Notamacropus eugenii: one gene and its partners. The protein of the gene in region 2 purifies or fractionates together with the protein of the main gene of each other region. This does not show direct contact. Links are inferred from orthologs where the notes say so. Each region holds a gene or a part of one and is shown on either strand. Other genes may lie near its edges. The genes, in order: UPF3A, RBM8A and PYM1.

Region 1 (3,744 bases), on a different chromosome or scaffold from region 2:
TTCAGTGAGGTTCAGACGTCTCCTTAAGTAATGAATTCTATCTATAACCTTTTCATTACTACAGAAGAGATAGACTGTTAAAGAAGGCTCTGTGCCAGGACAGAGTACATAAATACCTGAAGGATCTGTGCCTAAGACTATGAAATAGAAGAGTTTAAAAGACTTGCCCAAGGGCACCTAACCCCCAGGTACCAGAGGTAGGATTTGAAATACAATCTTTCAGACTTCAGGCTCAGGGCCCTATCCGACATTCCACACTGCCTCTGTAATAGACACAGGTATCTTTTTTATGCATAATAGCTACAGACTGGACATAACTACCAACATTTACACAAAAATCACTGAATCAAAAAATATGAAGTACTGAATTCTCAACAGTCCTCTTAGTCATTTAGGTTTTCCATTTGTTTGGAAAGAAGATATAAAATGTTATCCACTTTCCATTCAACCCAACAAGACCTTTACAGGATCACAGTACCATAGACTTAGAATTATATGTGACCTCTAAGGTCATCTAATTTTACTTTAATGACAAAGAAACTTTGGCCCAGAGAGTTAGGTAACCTGCCCAAGCTCCTTTGATGCTTCTAATCTTTGAATCAATTCAGGATTATTTTGCAAGGTGTTTCTTTCCCCAAAATACTTTTTGTTTCTTATTTCAACAAAAAATTGTCATTCTCTGCACTCTACATGCATTTATTTGTATTACATTATGAAATTGGAAAATACTAGGTGATCAGAGTAAGAGAAGATAGTCTAATTAAAAGTGTATTTGTTGGTAACTAGATTTAGGCACATACAGCCTTGGAATAAGATGAACATACACAGACTAGTCAGTGTGATTCTGGGCTGCATGAAGACAAAAAGAGATCAAACAGGAAGCAGGCCATTCCGCTGTAGCCTGCCCTGGTTAAGAGTAAATATGGAACACAGTGGTCAGCGTGGTGATCAAGATGGAGAAGAGATGAGAAAGAATGAGATAGGAGGTTCAGTGGAAGGAAGCAGAGCCACCTGGCCTGGAGAAGAGGTTACTTAGGAGATGTATGAGACCTGGTGTTCAAGTGTTTGAAGGGTCACTCTGTGGAAGAGGGATTAGACTTGTTCCGTTTGAGCCCAGAGGGCAGAACTAGAAACAACCCAAGACGGAGAGAAACAGATGCTTCCTAACCATTCAAAACCAGGATGGACTGCCTAGGGAGGCAGTGGAGATCTTCAGGCTCCTCCTGGCGAAGGACTTCTACGGGAGGTCGGGGAAGAGGCTCCTGTTTCGGTACAGGCTGGACTGGACTGCCGCCTCCCCGTAACCCTTTCCAGCCTGGGTCCTCGGAACTCTGAAATACTGGGCTTCTTTTTTTTAACTAGCCAGCCTGCATTGTAAGTAACTATTCTGGTTCTCTGTAGCACATTCATCTCTTAAAAATATCCTCAGGTGCATGAGTGGACCATTCTTCGGGGACGGTTTTCTTCTCCACGGTCACTTTAAAGCCGCATTCTCAGGTCATGCCGCCATTCGCAGCTCTTCTTGGGTCGATCAGAACTTACCGCTTTGCGGAGCACGAACTCTCCGCCAGCCTTCTCCGAGTCCGACCCTGCCCCCGGGCTGCCCCCAGGCAGCCTCCACTCTCCCGCAGGAGGCGTGGGGAGGGTGACGTCAGGCGGACCGGGCCAGCCCGCCCCCTAGGGGCCGGCGGAGCGTCTCTCCCCTTTGTCTGTCGGTCCCCGGAGCCCCGCGCATTCGTGAAGCTGCGGGCTGGGCGCGGGTGGGGAGGAGCGGCCACGCCGCCCACTGATATCCACCGTGCGGGGCGCCGGGGAACGACGTTCGACTTTCATTTTAAACACAATTACAAGTCCAAATGTCTGAGGTGACTTCCACCTCGCCCTAAGGGAGGGAACAAAGTCACGCTCGGGAGGAGACGAGGAAAGGACCGCCCGGGGCTCCGGTGGTCGGCCCCCCGCGCGGCCGCCTCCCACGGCGGCCCCGCCGGGCTGCGCCTCCGCCCCTCCTCCACGGCCGCCGGCGCCCCGGGCTCGGGGCGCTCTCCCCGGTCCTGAAAGCTCGTCCGCTGTCCCTCCTTCCCTCCTCCTTCCTCCCGGGGCGGCCGCCTCCGCGCAGTCCCTTCCTCCCGCCGCGAGACCCTCCCCCGCCGACCCCGGGCCGCGAGCCCCGGCCGCCCCTCCCCCCCAGGCGCCCCCCCACCTTGCTCAGGACCGTTTTCTTCTCCTCCCGCGGCTTGCTGCCGCCTCCTCCGCCACCGCCGCCTCCGCCGCTGCTTCCGCCACCCCCGCAGCCCGAGGCCGACACGGCGGTCGGAGGCGTCTCCGCTTCGCGCCGAGGCGACTCGCGGCGGAACTGGATCTCCATCGCTGTCCCTCCGCGGGAAGATGCCGGGGGCGGTGGCAGGGGTGGCGGTGGCGGCGGCGGCGGCGGCGGCAATGGCGGCTTCTCCTTGCCGCCCGATCCCCGCCCGGCGCCGCCGACGCCAGAGCCCCCGGCCCCGCTGGCTGCCTCCTTCTCGGACCGCATCACGCACCCGCCGCAGCCTCAGGCTCTTTCTCCCGCCCGTTCGGGGAGTGTCAGGAAGACTCGCGAGATCTCCGCCTACGCTCGCGCGCTACCCCCCCCCCCCCCCTCCGGCCCCGCCCGCCAGCCGTGCTTCTTGGTGACCGTCCACCCCTTCCTTGTAATGGAGGGAAGGAGCGGACACGGACGAGTCAGGGCAGTTGGGGGAAGGAGGAGCGCGTCGGAAAAGAGAGGCCTGGGGTCAGACGGTTTCAGGGGATGCGGACCGCGAGACCACGGAGGTGCCGCTGTCCATGGAGATGAAAAGGGCTGGGGTGCGGCCGGGCGGGGCGGGGCCGGGCGGGCTGGTGCGCCTGCGCGCAGGACCCGGAGGCACGTTCCCGCTCTATCCGCATTGCTGTCTCCCGAGCCGTGGGCGGCCGGCCAGGCGACCCCCGCAGAGCTCGGGCTGCGCCCGCACCGAGTGCGGGGTCCTTGGGCTTGGCTCGGGGCTGTAGGGGAGGGAATGGCAAGGCCCCCGGGAGAGCGGGGCTAAAGATCAAAATGCAGAGAAGCCTCGGGCTTGTCAGAATGGGAACCTCGGTGTGTGCGATCCGGGTATTAAGAACGAGCCCATGTTCTCCCTGGAAGGTCCTCAGGCCTGCATCCCGCCCCCCCCTCCCGAGCCCCCCCATCTGACCGGAAAGCCACGGCCATGGCCATCAGCAGCCCCCCAGGGGGCGCTCAGGCGCTGCCCACCATGGGGGCGCCGTCCAGAAACATCAAGGCCACCGGTTTATTTTTCCTGTACACAGGCGGCTGCTAATAAATGCTTTGGTCATCTTTACAAGTACGCTTTCCAGCGTCTGCGGCAGTGATATCTCTGCACTGCCAGCACCTCCCTCCGGACAAGAGGCGCGCGGACGAAGGAGGGTCCGGGGCCGCGGAAGCGCTCCGAGCCTTCTTGCAGAACAGAATCGGAACCGCCCCGCCGAGTCTCACGGCACCTGGGTTCGCCTGGCCCCAAATTAAAGAGGAGGGCTTCTCCAAACGTGCGGCCGCTGGAGTGGTCCCCACTCGGCTCCGGGCTTGGGGTGGGTCGTTTGGAGGCGACCGTCCCCCGCGGGGCGCTAAGCGATGCCGGACCTTGGCTCTCGTGTCCGAGGTGGGAAGTAACGAGGGACTCCCGGGGAGCAGCACACGCTGGCCGTCCCCACGACGGCAAGTTCACGTTCTCTCAG
Region 2 (3,744 bases):
TTTTTTATTTCTCCATACTCGGAAAATTTATCATGTATGTCCTCCTCGGTGGCTTCTTCGTGGACCCCAGTCACGAAAAGGATCCACCCCTCAACAGCTGGGGAGTCAGAGCACAGGCGGGGCGCGATGGTCAGGGGGAAGGATTCCACATGCCGGGGCTCCTCCCACTGCGTCCCCTCCCGGACTCCCGGCACTCACAGCGTTGCGGTCCGGGTTCGTCACCATCCTGCTCCACGCTGTCGTAGTCCTCCCGCATTCGGGCCCGGGACCCTTCCTCTGTAAGGTCCACGCCCACCAGGGGTCAGTAAATAAGGGCGGCCCACCCCGCGGCCCCCCTCACCCTCCTCTGTCCCAGCCTCACCTGAGCCGAAGCCGCGACCCTTGCGTTTCTTGGCCTTCTCCTTCAGTTTGTGAATGCTCTCTGAAGAGAGAGGAGAGGTGGGTCAGGGGGGCCCCGCCAGGGGAGTGGTGCCCGCGGCCCGGCCCGACCCCTGCGGCTCTGCCTGGGGCGGAAGACCCTCCTCCCGCCGTCTATCCATTCCGAGGCCCGGGCCCTCTAACTCTCCGCCCACCCGCTCCGCACCATCCCCATCCTCGTCCATGGCGAAGTCTTCGCCTCCGGCCTCATGAAGATCCAGCACGTCTGCCATCTTGCACGGTTCTCCGGTTCCTCGGAGCAGTTCTGCACCAAGGCACGGTGGGAGACGATGGCGGGCTTAAGAACCTCCCCACGCGGTGTTGTTGACTGCCTGGTTAGCCAATCAGACCCCTCGACTCCGAGGCTCTCGCTTTTCTTTGGCAGGGAGGCTGCCCGCTCGCGCAGGTCCAGTGGCCGCCGGGTCTGAAGAGTAGGAGAGGCGGAAACTTGAAGAGAGGGCTTCCTGGGAAGGAGGCCAGAAGAGCAGGTCACGTGATTGGGGGCGGGGAGAGGCCCGGGCTGCGCCTGCGCTTCGCTTGGACGCTCATTCCCGACTCTCCCCTGGTCCCCGCCCCCACCCAGGCGGGGCCTCGGGCGTCTAACCGTCGAGCTTTGCTCCCTTCCGTGGTTCTTCTTGAGTCTTCCCAGCGATTCTTTGCTCTCTCGCTTTCCTTTCTTTTCTCCTCCGAAGCAAGGGCGGGAGAGGGCGCCATCTTCATTTCGCAGCCCACTTTCGGTGCTCGGCTGGACGGCCCGCGCCAGCCTGCCTCGGTTTGCGTGGTTGGAAACTTCAGGGCAGCTTCTCCCCTCCCCCCTCCAAAAAAATAGCCAGAAGCCGGGTCGGAGTCACTTGGTTGCTGGAGAACTTCCTTAGCCTCCCCTGGTCTAGACGAGATGATAATCGCCTCCTGTAAGGCACTCGTTCTTAAACCAGTTACTTTTTAGGGAGTCTAGGGCTGAAGTCTCCCCCAAGCCCGGGACTCCATCCCCTTCCTCTCTGAACTCATGATCTCAGCTCCCTAACTCCTCCTGAGCATCTTTGTCAGCACCTTGCTGGGTCAGTCCAAAAACCCCTTCACAGGCCGGCCCCGTCGTAGTTGTGTGTGTCCTCCCTCCAACATGGAGAAAGGCAAATCTGCAGGCTGCCTCTGTTTGGAGGTGCCCAGCACCCTCATTTTGCAGGGAAGGAAAGGAAGCTGACTGAAATGGCTCCTTCCGTGATCCCTAGTGAGATCCTTACGGATTTCTGTTCTCCAAGTTGACCCTGCTTTAGCATCTGATACCGCCTCTTTTCTGGGATACTGCTGTTGGGGTACAGACTCTGGGAACTTCCTGGAATCTTCCCACTTATTCTGGCTTTTCACGCTCAAATCTGTGACCCATAACCTAACCAGGCCCTGCCAGGTCCGAGGCTTCCAGCTTGCCTCTGGCTGGTTCTCATCCTTGATTACCTCCCACCCCAGCCCTATGTTGTCCCAAGCCTCCAGTCGTTTCCCACCCTTGATTACATCATTAGTTACCCTGGTCCCATCAAGATTCTCTTTTCACGCCTCCTCCCAGACTGCTAGACCACCCCCAGATCCCTCCCATCATCTTTCTGTATATAAATTTAATCTCCTCTCCACTTACATGCTCAGTTTCAGTCCAGTTCTGATTCTGTCTACCTTAGATTCTACCTGACCCACTTGGCAATACAAGCAACACAAATGGTTGGGCTTCCTGAGAGTCGACCCAATATGGCAAATCTTTCATAAACTTTGGCTGAAAGAATGCTTGTCAAATGCATTCAGTCAGGACCCGGCTTGTCAGTATTTTGGGACCCCGAGTACCCCTAAACCCCAATGTTGTTAGTGTGTACAATGTTCTGTTTCTGTTCACTGCGCTTTTCATTTCATGTCAATCTTTCTAGGTTTTTCTGAAATCAGCCTGCTCTTCATTTCTTATATCACAACAGTATTTCATTACAAATACAATTTATTTAGCCATTCCTAAATTGATGGGAATCCCCTCAGTTTCCAATTCTTTGCCACCACAAAAAAGAGCTGCTATAAATATTTTTATACAAATAGCTCCTTCTCCTCCACCCTGCTTTTTAAAATTTCTGTGGGATAGAGACCTAGTCATGGTATTGCTGAGACAACAGGTATGTAGTTTTATAACCTTTTGGGCATAGTTGCAAATTGCTCTCCAGAATGCTTGGATCAGTTCACAACTCCACCAACAGTATATTAGTGTCCCAGGTTTTCTACATCCCCTCCAACATGTATCATTTTCCTTTTCTTTCATATTAACCAATCTGCTAAGTGTGAGTGGTACCTCAGTTGTTTTAATTTGCAGTTCTCTAATCAATAATGATTTAGGGTACTTTTTTCACATGACTACAGATAGCTTTGATTTCTTGGTCATAAAACTGCTATTCATATCCTTTGACTATCAATTGGGTTGCAACTTGCATTCTTAAAACTTTGGTTCAGTTCTCTATTTTGAGAAATGAGATCTTTATCAGAGACACTTGCTGTAAAAATTGTTTCCCAGCTTCCTGCTTTCCTTGGTTTGGGTAAACTTTTTAATATAATCAAATTTTCCATTTTCCATTTCCATTTTATAGTGCTTTCTTTTTGTTTATGCATAAATTCTTCCCTTCTCTATAGATCTGACAGGTAAACTATTCTTTAGTTTCCTAATGTTTTTAGGGTGTTGTATCAGTAAGCACCCCAACATACAGGGGGGTCTTCTATCACAGGTTCTTAGATCTGCATTCATAAAAGGAAAGCAACTTTCAAGGGGTAACAATCACTTTAATCAAGCACATGTATCGTTCCTTTTAACCAAGTACATCTATCATTCAGTTAGTTCAGGGAGTCAGCACCCTGAATTTCAAAGAAAATACAGAAAAATCAATAGATCAACAGACATAGCTTCCTCTGCCTGAATTCAATAGACAACTGGACCCCAACTGTCTGACCATAGTTTCCAGAGAGGGAAGCACTTGACACCTGGGTTCTCAAAGCCAGGGGACTCTTGGTGGTTTCCCAGAGTCCTCCTCTGGCACTCAAACTTTATTACAAAAACTAAACCCCAAAGTAAAACCTCAACTCAGAGTATTTATATCTTTTTTAGAGCCAGAGGGCATCACAACCCTTTAACCCAGTGCCTCAATAGAAAAAACAAAAGGTACTTAGGGCCATCCTACAAAACAACTCTCCTAATCAAGCTTCCTACAATGGGCAGGCCCATCAATGGGTGGGAAAGATTTTTTTAATAATTATTTTGTTTTCAGTGTTCTATAATCACTTCTATATATCTTAGATGTTTTCCCCCTCTCT
Region 3 (3,744 bases), on a different chromosome or scaffold from region 2:
TCAAAAAATTCCCCATCTCAGGAATGAGTTGAACTTTCTCCTCTTCCCTATGTCATTATAGATTTCCCAGCAAAGAATATTCATGAGGTTGCTGGTGTTGTATTGTGGGAAAAGCAGATTTTGAGTCAGAAGGCTGGGGTTTGAGACTAGCTATTTGACCATGGGCAAAGCATTTAAGCTCTAGGTGGAGCAGTAGAGAGAGTGCTGGGCCTGGAGTCAGGAATACCTGTGTCCAAGTTCAGCCTCAAATGAGGATGACAATTATAGTGCCTACCTCCAGGTTTTTGTGAGGATCAAATGAGATATTTGTAAAGGGCTTGGCATAGTGCCTGGCACATAGTAAACAGTTTATAAATGTTAGTTATTACTATTATTATTAGCTATGTGACCCTGGGCATATCACTTGCCTCAGTTTCCTCAACTGTAATTTGGGGATATTAACAGTACCTGCCTCATGAGGTAATATTTATAAAGCAGTTGACACATAGTAGGATCTACATAAATTTATATTCTTCTCCCTTCCCTTCCTTTCTCTAAAAGCCTCAAGAATCCCTCTGTAAAATGCCAATAACACTATGTGCTCTACTTATTTTACAGGGTTGTGGAAGTGACAGTGTTTTGAAAGCTTTAAGCAGCATAGAAACACGTCATTCCTGACCTCACTCTACGCATATCCCATTCGGACAGCTCCCTTTCTAGGAGCCTCAGAATGGAAATTACAGGGGATTTCAGTGTGGCGAAGTAGGGTGAGTGGCTCTCATTCCCTCAGTGGAATTTAACGCTTTCTGACACCCTCAATGAATTACCTTAGCGCATGCCCCCCTTCTTCAGTCTTTCTCCCTCATCCCACCTAGCCTCCACGGCCCAAGGGCAATGTGTGAGAAATGGGTATAATCAGTAGGCTCACTGCACCACGTCCCAGGTGCACATTTCCTCTTATCGGCCACATCACAAAATGGAGCGAGAAAAAGAAACCACAGCGAACAAAGGGAGGAAAAAACAACAGCTTCATTTCTACCCCCACCCCCACTTCTCCCTTCCTCCTCTGGTGGGGGCGAGAGCCACACCCCAGCCTAGGCTAGGGTCGGCAAGTCGCCCAACGGGCTAAGACAAGTGAGTTTCACTTCCTGCCAGCCCCAAAGTTAGGGCAGGATGTCTGGGGGTGGAAAGAGGTACAAGAGGAGGGGCCCTTGGCACCAGGTTATGCAGGCCCCGAGGGGAGCTGCTGTAGGTCTCCAGTTTCCCTTTTGCAAAGAAACTGAACTGAAAGGGTGATCCTAGCCTGAGGAGACCATGCCAAAGAGTCACTGAGTTCTACCAGTTTTTCCAGGTTCCCCCGCAGCTTCAAGCACAAAGGCTACTACGGATGTGGGTGTGTGGAAGGGGAGGACAGAGTGAAAACATTAGGAGGGAGAGGATTGGGGGAAGGAACGTACACATGTTAATAGCTGCAAATCAAATGCAAAACAGTATTCCCGCTTACTCGGCAGTCATCTTAGCTGGGCAGCCGCAGCTGGGTGGAAGAAGAGCGCTGCAGATTTGTTAGGTGGGGACCTTCCATAGCCGGATTTTTGAGCCGCGGAATGTTCATAGGTGGCATATTTTACTATTACTCAGTTTGAAAAAAAGGACTCCCAAGCGATTTAGTTCTATCCTGACTGCCTTCCGTCTCCCTCTCCCCCGCGCAGGGAGGACTCGGGCACTAGCCTTAGTCAAAGCAGAAGGACGGGGCAGAAACAATTTCCGTGGTAAAGGGCTACAGAAATGTCAGCAATCTGCAGGCAGTGGGGGGTGGGCTGGGGCGGGGGAAAAGGAAAGGAGAAAAGCGAAAACCTGGTGAGAGAAAGCGGCAGCCCAGGGCCTCCCCAGCCTCAGCGGGGGCAAGTTGAAACGGAATTTAGCTAGGGGAACGAGGTCGAGGGCGGGAAGATTTGCAGTTAGTAAAAGGGGAGGGGAGAAGGCCAGAAATGGGGAGTGCTGGAAGGGCTGCAGGGTCAAGCCCAACCCCTCCGATCACGCCCCTCCCTTCTTCCCCCGATCGCTTTCTTCTCGCGCCCTGGGGGTAGAGCCGTAGACCGAGAGGTGGGAGTCTTTAGCAGAGGAAGAAACTGAGGCGGGGAGGGGAGGGATGGGGGCGGGGAGGAGAGGCTTAGGCCGGAAGGGAGCGTAGAGGAGGTCAGCGAGCCCAGCCCCTCCGGTGAGACTAGTCCAAGGTCACCGGGGAAAAGAGAAGAGGGGTCAGGATTTAAACCGAGACCTCCGGCCTCAGTCGAGCCGGGGAGTCTCGTGCAGGCGCCCGGCGCGGGGATCCCGGAGCCGGAGGCCAGCCGCGAGGCTCTCGGCGGCCCGGCCCCCTCCTCCGCAAGAGAAACGGCCTCAGGCCTCCCGTTTCATTCATTCCACAGACGCAGATCGAGCGCCGATTCTCTGCGGGGCGCGCACGCCGGCGGCCTGGGCCTGCAGCGTCTCCCTTTCTCCATTTCGTCTCTGCGGCGCCACCCGGCCAGGGATGTCGTCCAGCCGCCAGCCAGTTCCCGAGGACGAGCTGAAAGGTACCGTCCCCTCTTAATAACCCCCTCCGTTTCCTCGGCCCTCACTTAGCCCCGGGCATGAAGTCCAAGGGCGCTCTGTCTCTTTAAGATGAAAATGGCAGCTCGCGACCAGGCCTAGACTCCACTTCCGGTGGAGAAGGGGGCGGGTCCTGGGGGGAGGGTGTCACTCACGCCGGAAGTGGTTCTCGTTTCCAAGATGGCGACTCCCTATGTAACTGACGAGACCGGCGGTGAGTGCGGGCGGTGCAGAGTCTCTTCTCCCCGGGCCTCTGAGGGTGGGGGTAGAGGTGGAGGGCGGACTTGGAAGGGACCTGCGCCCCGCCCATCCCGGGGCCCCTCCCCTGTTCCCGCCCCCCCGGACCGCCTACCCCATTCATTCGCTCCTTTGGGGCTGCACCTGCGCCCCCTTCCGGTCCTGTGGCGCCGGGGTCCCTCTGCTTCCGGTCACCTAAACTCTAGGCTAGGGTCTCTGCTGGCCAGGGCTAGTCCCCGGGCCTCCCTTGAGCCCCGGAAGTCTCCACTTGACCGCCGGACCCCCTTTGGTCCGCCAGCCATCGGAGCTCTGTCCATGTCCCTTCCAATTCCTGCCTCCCCCCTTTAGCTTCACCCACCTTAGGTGTGAAGGATTGGGAAGGACCTCCAACTTGTGGCCTTTGCTCTCATTTCCCGACCATGAGCTTTCTCTTTGGAGACCTAATCGCCAACGTGGGCTGCTTTCACATCTCTGCCTTCCCCGGGAAACTGTCAGCCTGGGCAGGGAAGGGATCGGTCAAGTCAAGTCAATAAGCACTTCCTAAGTTCCCACTGTGTGCCAGGCACTGTGCTAAGACCAGAACACAAGTGTCTCTGCACTCAGCCTGGTAATCAGACTACTAACGTCACCCTTCCCCGGCTGTCTGTCTCACTAAACTGTAGAAAAGAATTGTATGAAGGCTTGCTGGGGGCTAGGCAGCAGCCTTGGGCTGGGATGAGGTCCTGGGAGAAGACAGAGATGGAGAAAAGTGAGGTCTCATCCTTAGATGTTACTGGTACTGGTAACCCATTCTGCCCAAGGACCAGAGGGAGGAAACTTCTAGCCTGTTTATCAAAAGAAATATACAGAAAATATGTATAGAGTACATGTGGTGTATATGTGTACCCATGTGGAGCAGACATTGCATAACTCATAAAATCATTCATACTGGATACACTA

Evidence for each region.
Region 1: the proteins of RBM8A (region 2) and UPF3A purify together in Homo sapiens (co-immunoprecipitation; 4 studies listed by BioGRID and IntAct, with this or other methods). This does not show direct contact. The link is inferred for Notamacropus eugenii from reciprocal best matches to the Homo sapiens genes RBM8A and UPF3A.
Region 3: the proteins of RBM8A (region 2) and PYM1 purify together in Homo sapiens (co-immunoprecipitation; 11 studies listed by BioGRID and IntAct, counting the BioPlex papers as one, with this or other methods). This does not show direct contact. The link is inferred for Notamacropus eugenii from reciprocal best matches to the Homo sapiens genes RBM8A and PYM1.

What each region holds. Positions count from the first base shown.
Region 1 is NC_092877.1:206,134,788-206,138,531, forward strand, and holds the start of UPF3A (regulator of nonsense transcripts 3A), read right to left. Parts: upstream 2,587-3,744; 5' UTR 2,528-2,586; coding exon 2,201-2,527; intron 1-2,200. UniProt on the Homo sapiens protein: Involved in nonsense-mediated decay (NMD) of mRNAs containing premature stop codons by associating with the nuclear exon junction complex (EJC) and serving as link between the EJC core and NMD machinery.
Region 2 is NC_092873.1:303,232,171-303,235,914, forward strand, and holds the start of RBM8A (RNA-binding protein 8A), read right to left. Parts: upstream 2,394-3,744; 5' UTR 651-2,393; coding exon 584-650; intron 422-583; coding exon 362-421; intron 277-361; coding exon 199-276; intron 98-198; coding exon 1-97.
Region 3 is NC_092874.1:231,139,289-231,143,032, reverse strand, and holds the start of PYM1 (partner of Y14 and mago), read left to right. Parts: upstream 1-1,469; 5' UTR 1,470-1,583; coding exon 1,584-1,593; intron 1,594-1,993; exon of another isoform or gene 1,994-2,082; intron 2,083-2,405; coding exon 2,406-2,552; intron 2,553-2,668; exon of another isoform or gene 2,669-2,748; coding exon of another isoform or gene 2,749-2,782; intron 2,783-3,744. UniProt on the Homo sapiens protein: Key regulator of the exon junction complex (EJC), a multiprotein complex that associates immediately upstream of the exon-exon junction on mRNAs and serves as a positional landmark for the intron exon structure of genes and directs post-transcriptional processes in the cytoplasm such as mRNA export, nonsense-mediated mRNA decay (NMD) or translation.